Linked DNA regions of Caenorhabditis elegans. The protein of the gene in region 1 purifies or fractionates together with the protein of each later gene. This does not show direct contact. Each region holds a gene or a part of one and is shown in the gene's direction. Other genes may lie near its edges.

Region 1 (7,701 bases):
TCGTAAAAATTCTATAAGTATCTTAGTAACTCCAGTGAAAAAGTTCAATAAGCCGGCAACAGTTACTAGATTTCCGTAAATTGTCTATGAAAGTTTAGACAGGAGAAACCTCTTAAAATTGGGACAAAATAGACTCTAAATCAAATTATTATTGAACATATTTTTACAATAGCACAGATCGTGTTGCAGTGATTAATAATGTTGTTGATATCATCTGAGAAAGTTCAGGTTCTCAGAAAAATGCAATCTCAAAAATGTACTTTCCCTGATTTTTCCTAGTTTTTTTTCTTTTTTTTCACTTCAGTTCACCCCCGCGATTCAAAGTTTACAAACAGCTGCTGCCGTGTACAAAACGTGATTCAGACTTCTCTATGACTCAGATTCCACTTTTTTGAAACGAGAAATTGTTTCGGTCGTATTCAAATTTAAATTTCAATACCCAATATAAGAATATGATGATGATGCATCAATTCACTGTCCTTCCATATCCCTCAGAATTATCCCTCGAAATCTCCGAATAAGACGTAGAAGACGTCAAAACAAAAGGGAAACTTTTTGTCCCTTTTCCATCATCTTCTCAATACTCCTTCCATAAAAGTCCTTTATTTCCGGGGCGCACACTCACACGCTGCTGCTGCAGTTGCCCCAACATAGGCCATACGTACCCAATTTTATAATCCATGGGAGTCGGGCAAACAAACTCAATTCGGTCATCTTCTCCATCTGTCGAGTCTCTGCTCATCCCGAAGGGAACCGTCCTGCTTCCGTCCGTCCCAATGTCTGTGTCTCTTCATCTCCATTGACCAGTGTCCTTGCCTCTTCGTCCTCTATTCCCGCCGCTCGTCCGTTCTTATACCCTTCTCTCCGCTCACTCGTCACCCGCTGACTGACCGACCGGCCAACCCGACTGAATCATCATTTCTTTATGTGTCTTCTTTCTCTCTATATTTAACAGTGTCTTCGTACACCGGTTGATGGTGCGGAATCATCGTTTTCACCATATTCACTTCTCACTCGCAAATACCTCAAAAGTTTGCTTTTTGTGACTTTTTGGCTTCGCAACTTTTTTATTTGAAAATTTTTGAGTGTGAAACATATATTCAACATGGCAAATAAAAACTAAGTTTCTTCATTTTCGGTCGAAATTTTAATTTTCGAATTTGTTTTTTTCTTAAATTTTATTTAAAAAATAGTTATTTCCTAAATTGCCGGCATGTGAAACATAATCCCCTATTAATTGTTTTGTTTTTTCGTTGAGTAAACACCCGAAAGGCCTCACAGGCCCCACCACACTTGTTTCTCGCTATTTTGCGAAAGGATTTTTTATTTTTTTCATTGAAAATTTAATTTTTAATTTTTGAAAAGTTAGAGTAAAGATTTTTATTTTATATGAGTCATTTTCTCAAAGAATAAGTAAATTCTGTGTTTGCCAATAAAGTTTAACGGTGACAGTACCCTCTTGGATCTCTTTGAGACCAACCACCCCTTCTTTATCGTGCGCCTTCAAATCTAACAGTAGTTCTAATCGATACTTTAATGTAAGGTTATGTATTTCTTTTTATATTTTTTGATTTCATCTCAATATAAATATTATTTCTCTTCGTTTTATTTGCATTCTAATCTGAATTTTCAATTTTATTAATTTTCAGAATGCCTGCGAATGGCAATTCTCATGCGTATTTCAACATCGACGAAGTGCGCTCGAAAAATGTTTTGAAACAAATTACTCAATTAATCAATGAAGTGACCAACATCACTGAAACGTTTCCGTTAAAACCTGGACAAACTACTGAAGGACTTGTCGCCACTCTTGATGCTGCCGTTGCTAATTTTCTTCAAACGGGAAGCTTTGCAATTTCGAAATGCCCAATTGCAAACAGTGATCCACGCGCAATTGATTTATTGCACGAAGCTCTTGGAGCAGTTCAAGATACTGGGCAAGTGATGATTCAAACTGGAAGAGATTTTGTCAGAGATTCAACTTCAACAAACAAACGAGCTATTGCAACGAATTCTGGTAGAAATTTGTTGACTGTAAGTTTTTAGGTACTCTTTTAACTGAAAAATGTTGTATTCAGGCTGTCGCTAAATTCCTAATTCTTGCCGACTCGATTGATGTAAAAGTGATAGTTGATAAAGTAGATGAAGTTCGAGAAACTGCACACCAAATGATTGAAGCGGATACAAAAATCAAAGTAGATGATTTGTACAATCTTCTCATTTCTCAAATCGAAGAACTTGATATCACTGTTCGACGACGAGCCATTGATTTGGTTAAACCAAATCAGAGAGATGATCTTCTAGCAGCAAGATCAGCACTTCGACAGACTGCACCACTTCTGTATACTTCAACACGAACATTTGTAAGACATCCAGAACATGAAGAAGCTCGAAGAAATCGTGATTACACTGCAGATGAAATGCATTCTGCTTTAAATGCTCTTGAATCTGTTTTAAACGGACAACAACCGAAAGTAACATTTTCTGAATATGGAAGAATAGGCGATCTTATCAATGAAATCGATACTTTTCAAGTGAGTTTAAAAATTTCAAATAATAAGACAAATAATTTATTTTAAGAATCGAATCGAAATTGATCCAGCCCATTATCGTCGAGGAACTGATCGTCCAGATCTTGAAGGACATTGTGAACGAATTGTTAGTGGTTCTGCTTCAATTGCCGATGCTGAAAGCACTCGTGAAAATCGAAAACAAAAAATTGTTGCTGAATGCAATAATTTGCGGCAAGCTCTTCAAGAACTTTTGACCGAATATGAAAAATCTGTAAGTTTTTTCTATTGATCTCTTGACTTGTTGCCTCGTTTAAAATAAAAAGAAATAAAAAACATTCAAAGAAGCGCATCTTTTTCACAAAAGGGCGATGGAGACGGTGAGAACAAACAAACAAACAATCGTGCGTTCTTTCAAGTGTGACGCCTTGTCCCTCAGGGCGAGAACAACTGTTTTTGTTTGTTAACCGAACTCGAACTAAAGCCGTTTTTTAGAAAAAAAAATGACCACCGCGAGTTCAGACATGGAAAATGTTTTTTTTAGAATTTCGGGGAAATTCTTTAAAAAATTTGTAGTAGTAGAAAATATAGAGACTACAAAGTTTTTACAATAAAATTTAAAGCTTATTACGACCTGTTTAACTATGTTTTAAATCTGTAATTTTTCAGACCGGCCGAAGAGATGATAATGATGATATTCCTCTTGGAATCGCAGAAGTACACAAAAGAACAAAAGATCTCCGGCGACACCTTCGTCGTGCAATTGTAGATCATATAAGTGATGCTTTCCTGGATACCCGTACACCGCTTATTTTACTGATAGAAGCTGCTAAAGAAGGCCATGAAGAGAATACAAGATATCGTTCAAAGATGTTCCAAGAGCATGCAAATGAAATTGTTTCAGTTGCTCGTCTTTCTTGTCAACTTTCATCAGATGTTGAAAGTGTTAGTGTCATTCAGCATACGGCTGCTCAACTTGAAAAACTTGCTCCACAAGTTGCTCAAGCTGCCATCTTACTTTGCCATCAACCTACTTCAAAAACTGCTCAAGAGAACATGGAAACCTATAAAAATGCTTGGTTTGACAAAGTGAGATTGTTAACGACTGCTCTTGACAATATCACTACTTTGGACGACTTTTTGGCTGTCAGTGAAGCACATATTGTTGAAGACTGTGAGCGGGGAATCAAAGGTATCACGGTAAGTATTTTAGTTCTCAAAATTTTAAATTTAATGAAAATTAACAAAAATAGTTTTCGCTAAATTCGTCAACTTTTGAGACGTTCAAACTGAATTTTCCAGGCAAACGCTTCAACACCGGATGAAAATGCGGCCAACTGTGAAACTGTCGACTGTGCTGCCGGATCGATACGTGGACGAGCTCTCCGAGTCTGTGACGTTGTCGATGCTGAAATGGACTTCCTTCAGAACTCTGAATACACTGAAACTGTTAAGCAAGCTGTTCGGATTTTGAAAACTCAACGTGTAGATCAATTCGCTGAGCGTGCGAGCGCTTTAGCCAACCGTCAAGAAGCACACGGACTTACATGGGATCCAAAAACAAAGGAAGAAGAAATGAATGAATTTATCAATGCTTGTACATTAGTTCACGATGCAGTTAAAGACATTCGACATGCACTTTTAATGAACCGAAGTATGAATGATGTTGATTCGGATGTAGAGTATGAAGCTGATGGTGTTGGTGCAGCAAATGCAGATGCTAATCGTACGATATCCGAACAAGAAAATCAACAGAATCTGATGAGACGATTGCCAGAAGAAGAGAAAAAGAAAATTCAAGCACAAATTGATATCTTCAAAGTAACACAAACACGATTCGAAAGAGAAGTTGCCAAGTGGGATGAAACAGGAAATGATATTATATCATTGGCCAATAATATGTGTAAGATTATGATGAGTATGACAGAATTCACAAGAGGTTGTGGGCCATTGAAAACGACAATGGATGTTATCCGAGCAGCACAAGAAATCTCACTTAATGGATCAAAACTAAATGCATTGGCACGGCAGATTGGAGAAGAAAGTGCTGATTCGCAGACGAAAAAGGATTTGCTCGCATATTTGTCACAAATCACTCTATATTGTCAGCAACTGAATATTTGTAGTAAGGTGAGTTTTTTTAATTGGTGCCACGAGCTGTAAAAGCGTACCAAATGTTTTTGGTCAATTGTTTGTTTCGGGGGTTTTTTAAATTTGTCAAATTAGTTTTTCAAGAAAATTGTAAAGATTCACAATTAAAAACGCGTCTATAAAAACTAAAACTGAAAAGAATCTCGTATTTTTCAGAATTATCTGAAAAGTTTTTGAAAAAATTGAGAATTAAAAAAAAAAACTTATAGATAGTGTGATATTTCACCAAAAGAGGTTTCAACTGTTTTTAACGATTTCAGTAGAGATATAATTTTACTTCGCGTTTTTTTTGCGAACCAAGCTCTAGACTGAAGCCATGAAAAATGAAAAAAAAATTGTGATTGGCCTCACTTATACTAGAAAATTGTTCATATACTTACTATAAATAAGTTTTGTTTAAATTGCTTTCAAAAAACCATGTGAAATATAACTTTAAACTTTTAATAGAAAGTAATATTTCAGGTGAAAGCTGATGTGACTCAAGTTGGAAATGAGCTTGTCGTATCTGCACTTGACTCTGCAATGTCTCTTATTCAAACGGCTCGAAATCTTTTAACTGCTGTTGTACAGACTGTTAAAGCTGCATACATTGCCAGTACCAAGGTTGGTTCCCTTTCTTTAAACAAAACATTAATTATTATTCCCACTTGATGTCTGATACTATTGCTTTCCAGCATTTATCACACATTTCTTTTTTCGTACAGACGATAACGGCTGCTTACGTAATTCATTTCAAATCAGATGGTATTTCGCCCACTCTTTTGAGTAGACACGTGGTTTAAAGTGCCAATAGACCAGTTGCCTTTTGTACACTGAATTTTGAGATTTTAGAAAGTGTACCCAAAAGTTTTAGAAAATTAAATAAATAAAATTAAAAAAAAAAAAAAACATTCTCAATAGTGTGCACAACGCGAACGTGCTCGAGTCGAATCAGCCGTTGCGCTTAGCGATGCTCACAAAGCTATTAATTATGAAAGTCCGATGGATGAATCTGGTGAGAAAAAATGAGAAAGCATTAAATATCGTGTTGTGTGGTTTTATCGATGTTGTTTTTGAGAAAAAGAGATATTGAGCATGTCGAATTTAATTTTTTGCTTTTTTCTCAAAATTTACGTTGGCTGCTGCGTAATTTAATGGTAAATATTTTTTATAGTTAAAAAAAGCTTATGTCTTGAGTTCAAATCAGTGGTTAAGACTATTAATGTTTGACGATTTTTTTTTAATGGAGTAGGGATTTTGCTTTAAAAAAATCCAGAATAGTTTGATTCTCAGAAATACCCAAAAAAGAGAAAGAATGAAATGTCGAATTTTCGAAAATCAGATTTTTCAATTTTTGGCGATTCCCTATTTGAATTCTCTCAGTTTGGTGCGAATTCAAACATGGAATTTAGCCAAAAATTAAAAGCAAAATCTCAGATTTTTATAGATTTCCTGAATCCTAGAAAATACAAATTAATTTTCATTATATTCCAAAAAAAAGAAAACAATTCCAGTTAAATATGTTAATTCAAATTGGTAAGGACATCCCTTTCTTATTTTCCCTTCACACTTAAAAATCGTTTTCCCAACAAAAAAACATTTAACTTTCTAAAAATGCATTGTATCGGTCTTGATGTGTGGACATCGATCCCCCAATATGTCGGTCTTGTGATCTTATACTCCCCCGTAAAAAACTCATACATTTTAAACTAGATTGTATTGCAACTTTAACTAAGAAAAGAAGATTAAGTTGAAAAAAAAACTTGAAAGAAATTGATACGAACGTAAAATATGTGTTATTGTTGATGAAAAGTGTCTCGATGTTGTTTGCTGTTGGTTTCATTTTCTTAAATTGCTCGAATGCTTGGAATTCTTTGCTGATAACTTCCTGAAACTCATCCTTATTCTTGCAGTTCCGTCGTCCTAATGCCAACAGTGTACGTGTCGAGTGGCGAATGGCTCCACCAAAGAAACAACCACTAATTCGACCACAAAAGAATAATGCTATAATCAGGTAACGTTTTCATCTATTTTTTTTGAATCAAGGATCCCTCTATAAGTGTTTCCTTTGCCTGCAAAAGGACATATGACACACTTCATTGAGAAGCCATGTGAAAAAAAGTAGTCGGTCCCTGAATAATTCATAAAAAATAGCACTGCCACCAGAAAATGGCACGTAGCTGCCATTGTCAGTAGTCCCAAGTCCCTTTTTTTGTGGTAAAAGTGGTGAAAGCCGAAAGAGCTGCGACACCAAAATGTATATTCTTGACTTGTTGAGCAAAAGTGTATCCCTTGAGGATCATAAATGCAAATTGAGTTTTCGGAAAGCAAAAAAAAAGCGACAATGTTCATAAAAAGTGATGAATAGTTGGATGATTTCGGACATTGAAATGAAAGTTTTAAAGCATCAAAAAACACAATTTTTCTTTTCTTTCAGAAAATTTTCCCCCCCTGAAAAAATTTTTGATAAGATTTCAGACATTTTTTAAACCTATTAAACTAAATTTTACGATTTTGAGATGCACCCCGTAAATCGACACAAGCGCTACAGTAGTCATTACAATAATTACTGTAGTTTTCGCTACGAGATATTTTGCTCGTCAAAAATATGTTGTGCAATACGCATACTCAGAAGTTGGTGTTCCCGTGATAGGTGATCACTAATTCTTGATCATTATCTATTCCATTACAGAAAATTAATTAGAATCCCCCTTTCAAAAGATGTATTCAACGAACGCCGACTAATGTTATAAAGAGTTTGCAGACGGGCATCCGAACGGCGACCTTTGCAACCAGCTAAAGTGCTCGCCGAGTTTACGCGTAACGAGATTGAGACGGGTCGTGATAGTGACGACGAGGAACTTGATCGCCGGCATCAACAAAGAATAAACGGTCGTTTATAGATAATTTATTTCAGTTTTATTCATGTATCTTCATACTTTTCCCTTCCAAATCTTTCCACACATCCTTTATATGCCCGAGTCTTTATTATTTTCTCATTCTTTCAATTCTCTTCAGCTAGAAATTTGTATCTGTGTATTTTTTGTATTCATTTCTGTTT
Region 2 (4,977 bases), on another chromosome or scaffold:
AGTCGTCAAAGTAATAATGGTATTTAAAAATGTGAGGAAACTAGGGAGTTAAGAGCATCCAAGGGATCAACGTTTTTACATTGGACCAAAGTATCTGCAAAAGCGCGCGGCAAATCATGTAGGCACAAAGGTAGGCATTTGTGTGTTTTCATGAATATTGAGAATTCAGTAAATAATGTGATCTACCTACATAAAGGTTCCTATAGGAGTTCTCTGTAGAGAACTTCAACTATATTTTGGAAGCATGATTTTCCCTGTTTCGCCTTTGTCTCTTCTCAGCATCAATCAAATTTTTGCATTTCTCAGGATTAATGTGTGTCTTTTTCGTTGTGTTCTCGTAACTACGAATCTCCAGCTGATTCCCTCGAGTACAAATTGCAAACAGCCGTCCCCTTCTTCTACTTCTTGTCCTTCATTTTTGTTTCTAAAGTCGCTGTCATCACTGTGATTCTGTGGTGACTGCTGCAGCACAACATGCCAGATGCGTGGCAGATGTTGAAAACTTTCGGAAGTTTGTGTAGAAATCGGAGAAGAAGAAGAAGAACTTGACGAATTATATGAGCCTGACCAGCGCTGTCGTCTCGGTGCGTTTACCATTAGTATGTTACAAAATTGACCTGTCTCCCTTTCTTTTTCTATCCGCAGAGGATTTAACGCTTTATGAGAAAACCGTTCACCATATTATCGGCGAGAAGCAAAAGTGCGTGCCGTAACGGCAAAGTGTATGTTTGTTCTCCAAATATCACATTCAGCTTTTTTGCGCCTCGCAAGAAAATGCTCTAGGCTTGCCGACGGTCAACTCGAACCTTCTGGACCAAATTGAAAATTTTCCGACTGTCCTGAAACTATAGCTCCTAATAGTTGTATTTTATTTTTAAATTCAAAAATTTTCCAACATTAAGAAAGAAGGGAATCGAGTTTCCCAGGTGCAATGACTCACGGCTTTTCGAACGAAAGTGGGATTTTTGACGAATTTCAAATTTTCGAAAGTGGCAAGTATTTTCGCTAAAGTAATGTTATTCTTTTCAAAATATTGTCTAAATTTTCTAATTTATTACTAGAAAGTTTTAAAGTGCTACAGTAATCATGACTCTAAAATTATTAAGTTAACATGTATATTTCAATTTTATCTAATTCATTATAAATATGTATTGAAAACTTACTTATATTATTTAGTTGAATTTTTATTAGAAACACCAGTTTTTACTAAAAAATAGAGTTTAAATATTTTTCATGTCTCTTTTAGTAACAAAATTTATTGAGTGATACCCGTAGAAAACAACAGGTGTGACCGCACTAAAATATATACAACACACTACATTTCCCGCAATTCATGTAGGCCAAATGGTGGTGGGTACACTGCACGCGTGTTAGAGTTGCCCCTCGGTTTAGTCGATCGATAAACAGTATTGCATCCCTGCTAGTCTTCCACATACCTCTTTAAGACACTACATGGAACAATTCAATTTTTTTTCGCTTTTTTCATTTTTTTCTTTTATCAATAATATCTTCGAACTTCCAAAACATTACACGATTTGTTTTGTTTCTGTTCAAATTGAGTTCAAAATAGGGCGCGCGAAATTTTTTTAGTCGAAGACTTCATTTTTCGGTTTTTCTTGCTCGTTTTGCGCTATACTTTTCAATACATTTTGCGCAAATATCTTGTTGTCACCTGACAGTGCTAAACTTTCTGAAAAATCTGCGCGCACTTCTTCTTATTTATTCTTCTTCCAATTTCCAATCTCTGACTCATTATTAATTTGTCATTTCGACAGCGCCTTATTCATATTCACACTGCACTCTTTCTCATCTTTTGCTTGTCCCTTGCTCTCCTTCGGGTTCTCTTGAGGTCGCCGACACACAAACGGTTGTTTCGTAATAAATATTTATTTGTTTTCGCAAAATTTATGCGGTCCCCTTTCTCATGGGCCATTCCGAACTTTGAAGATAGTAATTCATTTTCGTTGCAGAGAAGACATTCCAACTCGACATTCTCTTAATGAACCCACGACTAAAAAGATGACCGACAAAACAGCTGGTGAGATTGAGAGTTTAGTCCATAAACATCAAGATTATTAATTTCAGAACTTTGCCTGAAAATTGGAGATGAAGAAAAGGATGATTTCACATTGGAAATTGAAAAGCTTCAGGTTTGTTTTGATTTGTTTCATGTCTAACGGCTCCACCCCAAAATAAAACTCATTTCAAAACCACTTCCCATTGTTTATTCGCAAGAAAAAAGGATTAGTGAAGTAGTGGAAGGCTCTTCCCAACCACTTGTTCGTCGTCCTTCTGAATTCCTCCCCTCACTATCCCAAGTTTTCAGGCCACTCTTCAAGAAATGCTCGATTGCACGAGCAGCCCAAGCACTTCACTAGATTCCACTGACAAACGTGAGTTATTCAATCATTTATGACCTTCAAGAAAGATATTGAGTTTAACGAAGAAGTTTAAAGTTTGAATATTCCATGCATTTCAAAGTTCAGTTTACAGTGAAATATAAAACAGAGCTTTTAGTTATTGTGTGGTTGAAAAGTTTTTAATTCTTTAGTGAGTTTTTTTTTCAAACATAGATAGATATAATACAATATGCTCCCTATTAGTATTACACCTACATTTCTATACTCTGAGATTTCATATTTCGATTATTTCTAAAGATAAAAATGTAACCTAAATTTTACTAGTTGAATACTTTCACTGTCAAAAGAAACACAGTAGGAGCACACGTTAATACCTAATTTTTTAATATTCATCAAGACTGTCTTAAAATTTTTTTTTGTTTGGGTTCCGAATAAAAATTTAACAACTAAAGCAAAAAAAATCATTGTAAGTCAAGAAAGATCATTTTTGAAAAAAAAACCAAAAATCAGGAAATAGCCAAAAAAAGACTGAAAATAATTTTTAATATTCTAGTGCCATCCGGACTTGCTGCTCGTCGACTGATCCGTATTGCCAGTGAACATCATCATATTTCCACGACATCTTCTTGCCATTCGGACTCTGGAAACTCTTCATCTCGAGACGTCATCACCCCGTTTACAGTACATGGCGGAGCCTCAATTGGACGACTCATTCTGATTGATATTGTGCGACGTGATGATTTAATTGGAATTGTTCATCCTAACGATATTCTTTTAACAATTGAGAACATGTAGGTTTTCTAGAACATTTCTTTTTTTATTATTTAAATTTTCAGAAAAGTATCAGGAATGGTAAGATCTGAAGTGAATAGGATATTGGAAGATATGATGAGAGAACATGATCAAATTGCGATTGAAATTCTACCAGCTGGAGCAATTACCGATGATATTTGTGAACTACTGGCCGATAGAAAATCATCTGGTGAACTTCAGACTATCATTCGAGAAAATTTATATCAGAAGACAGTTCCTTGTGAGTTACAAAAAAAGTTGATCTGAAACTAACTAGATTGGATTTAATACTTATAAGTTTCATTCCTCAAAACCTCATTGTTTTCAATGGCACTAGCAGCTGCCCACAGGGAGTATCATTGAGATGAAATAGTGTGTGATCTAGAGAAACCTAGACATCCGCCCCATTAAATTAGGTGATTTAGGATCTAGGGGATCATCACAAGGTGGGGGAGGGTCCGAAGCTGGCCACCAGTGGAAGTGTTAAAATGTTCGGTTCGCCTTTACCAAAACATTCACTAAAACCTGCATTTCTTTCCAAACGAACATCTCTTCCTGTTATTGATCTAAAAGATTATTATGGAGGGACAAGTATTGAAGTTAAAACAAATTTCAATTTCAAAGTGACCATTTTCAGACACAACTCGACCTCCACGAGAAGGTGAAGTTGATGGAGAACACTATCGATTTGTGTCTGTAGATGATTTTAATAAGCTTCTCGACAGTGGTGACTTGCTCGAAAATGGTACATATCAAGGTAACCTCTTTTCTCCATGTTCAACTATTTTACGCTTATTATCATAAAAGAAAACCGCTGCTTCACGGTTTTACTTGCTCGCGAATCTCCGTAAAATCCAGCCACCTGGTAGCCTTTTTCGGCACCTGTCTTAAGAATTTCTTATTTCTTATTTCCACCGCTTCAATAGCTCCATCTGTCTTTGTCTGCGATCTCTTATATCCCCTATTACCTTCTCATCACACTCACTTACCTGTTTTCTACCTCACAGTCCTCGTCTACCCTCTTACGCAATCTTGGTATGTCCTCAAATGGAGGACTGTACCCTCTACGTCTCCTGCTTCATAACACTATTTCGTGACAAAACACAGTCCCATTCCGCTCATTTTGCATCTTTCTCCTTCCGTTGTCCCTCTCTCTTTCTCTCTTACCTGACACAATGGTTCATTCACCTCTCTCACCAAAATTGGAGTGGATTACATTCTTTGCATGTGTAAAAAGTGCACCCTAAAATTTGAAAATTCTTTCTCAACGGATCTGCCTTCCCAGATCATTTTTCATCCATATGTCCGCCTTGAGAAAATGCATATATCATGCTCACTTGTCATCGGAGCCCACCAATATCCATGTGACAAGTAGCAGTAAACTTGACTATTGTTTTTGGCTCCTCTTCATTCCATTTCGGAAAGAGAAGACTTGGTGATGCCCCCACAGATTCGATTCAATTTCGTTAATTCAATCTCATAGTGGCTTCTTCCATTCTTTTCTGTTTCGTTTCTATTCTTCTTCTTACTTTTTCGCATCCTTCTTATTCTCGCCCTACACTTTCTCTGCTTAATCCCTGTTTGAACTAAATTCTCGGAGAAGACAAGGAGTTAGCAGCAAAAGTTGAATCCTGAAGTTTTTTTTTCGTTTTTTTTCTTTACTGGTGTCGTTGCCTGCCTATTTGCGTCCTTGTCAAAACAATGCCATTTTTCGGTCAAGTACCCTGAACCAGTACTAGTTTTGACAGTAAGTCCGAAAATGGAAGTTGAAAGGGCATAATGATGATGAGGATTGTTATTGAAATAGAGATGCAAAACTGGCGTT

The links. The genes of interacting proteins can lie anywhere in the genome.
Region 2: the proteins of hmp-1 (region 1) and magi-1 purify together in Caenorhabditis elegans (affinity purification with mass spectrometry, with the first as the bait; one study listed by BioGRID). This does not show direct contact.

What each region holds. Positions count from the first base shown.
Region 1 is NC_003283.11:11,844,228-11,851,928, forward strand, and holds the start of hmp-1 (Vinculin), read left to right. Parts: upstream 1-1,649; 5' UTR 1,650-1,650; coding exon 1,651-2,034; intron 2,035-2,078; coding exon 2,079-2,534; intron 2,535-2,580; coding exon 2,581-2,784; intron 2,785-2,856; exon of another isoform or gene 2,857-3,079; intron 3,080-3,179; coding exon 3,180-3,710; intron 3,711-3,812; coding exon 3,813-4,640; intron 4,641-5,123; coding exon 5,124-5,264; coding exon of another isoform or gene 5,265-5,312; exon of another isoform or gene 5,313-5,561; coding exon of another isoform or gene 5,562-5,669; exon of another isoform or gene 5,670-6,553; coding exon 6,554-6,654; intron 6,655-7,395; coding exon 7,396-7,543; 3' UTR 7,544-7,701. UniProt on the Caenorhabditis elegans protein: Required for cell migration during body enclosure and cell shape changes during body elongation. Required for proper localization of other junctional components, such as pac-1.
Region 2 is NC_003282.8:11,713,071-11,718,047, forward strand, and holds the start of magi-1 (Guanylate kinase), read left to right. Parts: upstream 1-1,968; 5' UTR 1,969-2,019; coding exon 2,020-2,038; intron 2,039-2,085; coding exon 2,086-2,150; intron 2,151-2,326; coding exon 2,327-2,393; intron 2,394-2,913; coding exon 2,914-3,151; intron 3,152-3,196; coding exon 3,197-3,393; intron 3,394-3,454; exon of another isoform or gene 3,455-3,631; intron 3,632-3,789; coding exon 3,790-3,909; intron 3,910-4,148; exon of another isoform or gene 4,149-4,293; intron 4,294-4,977.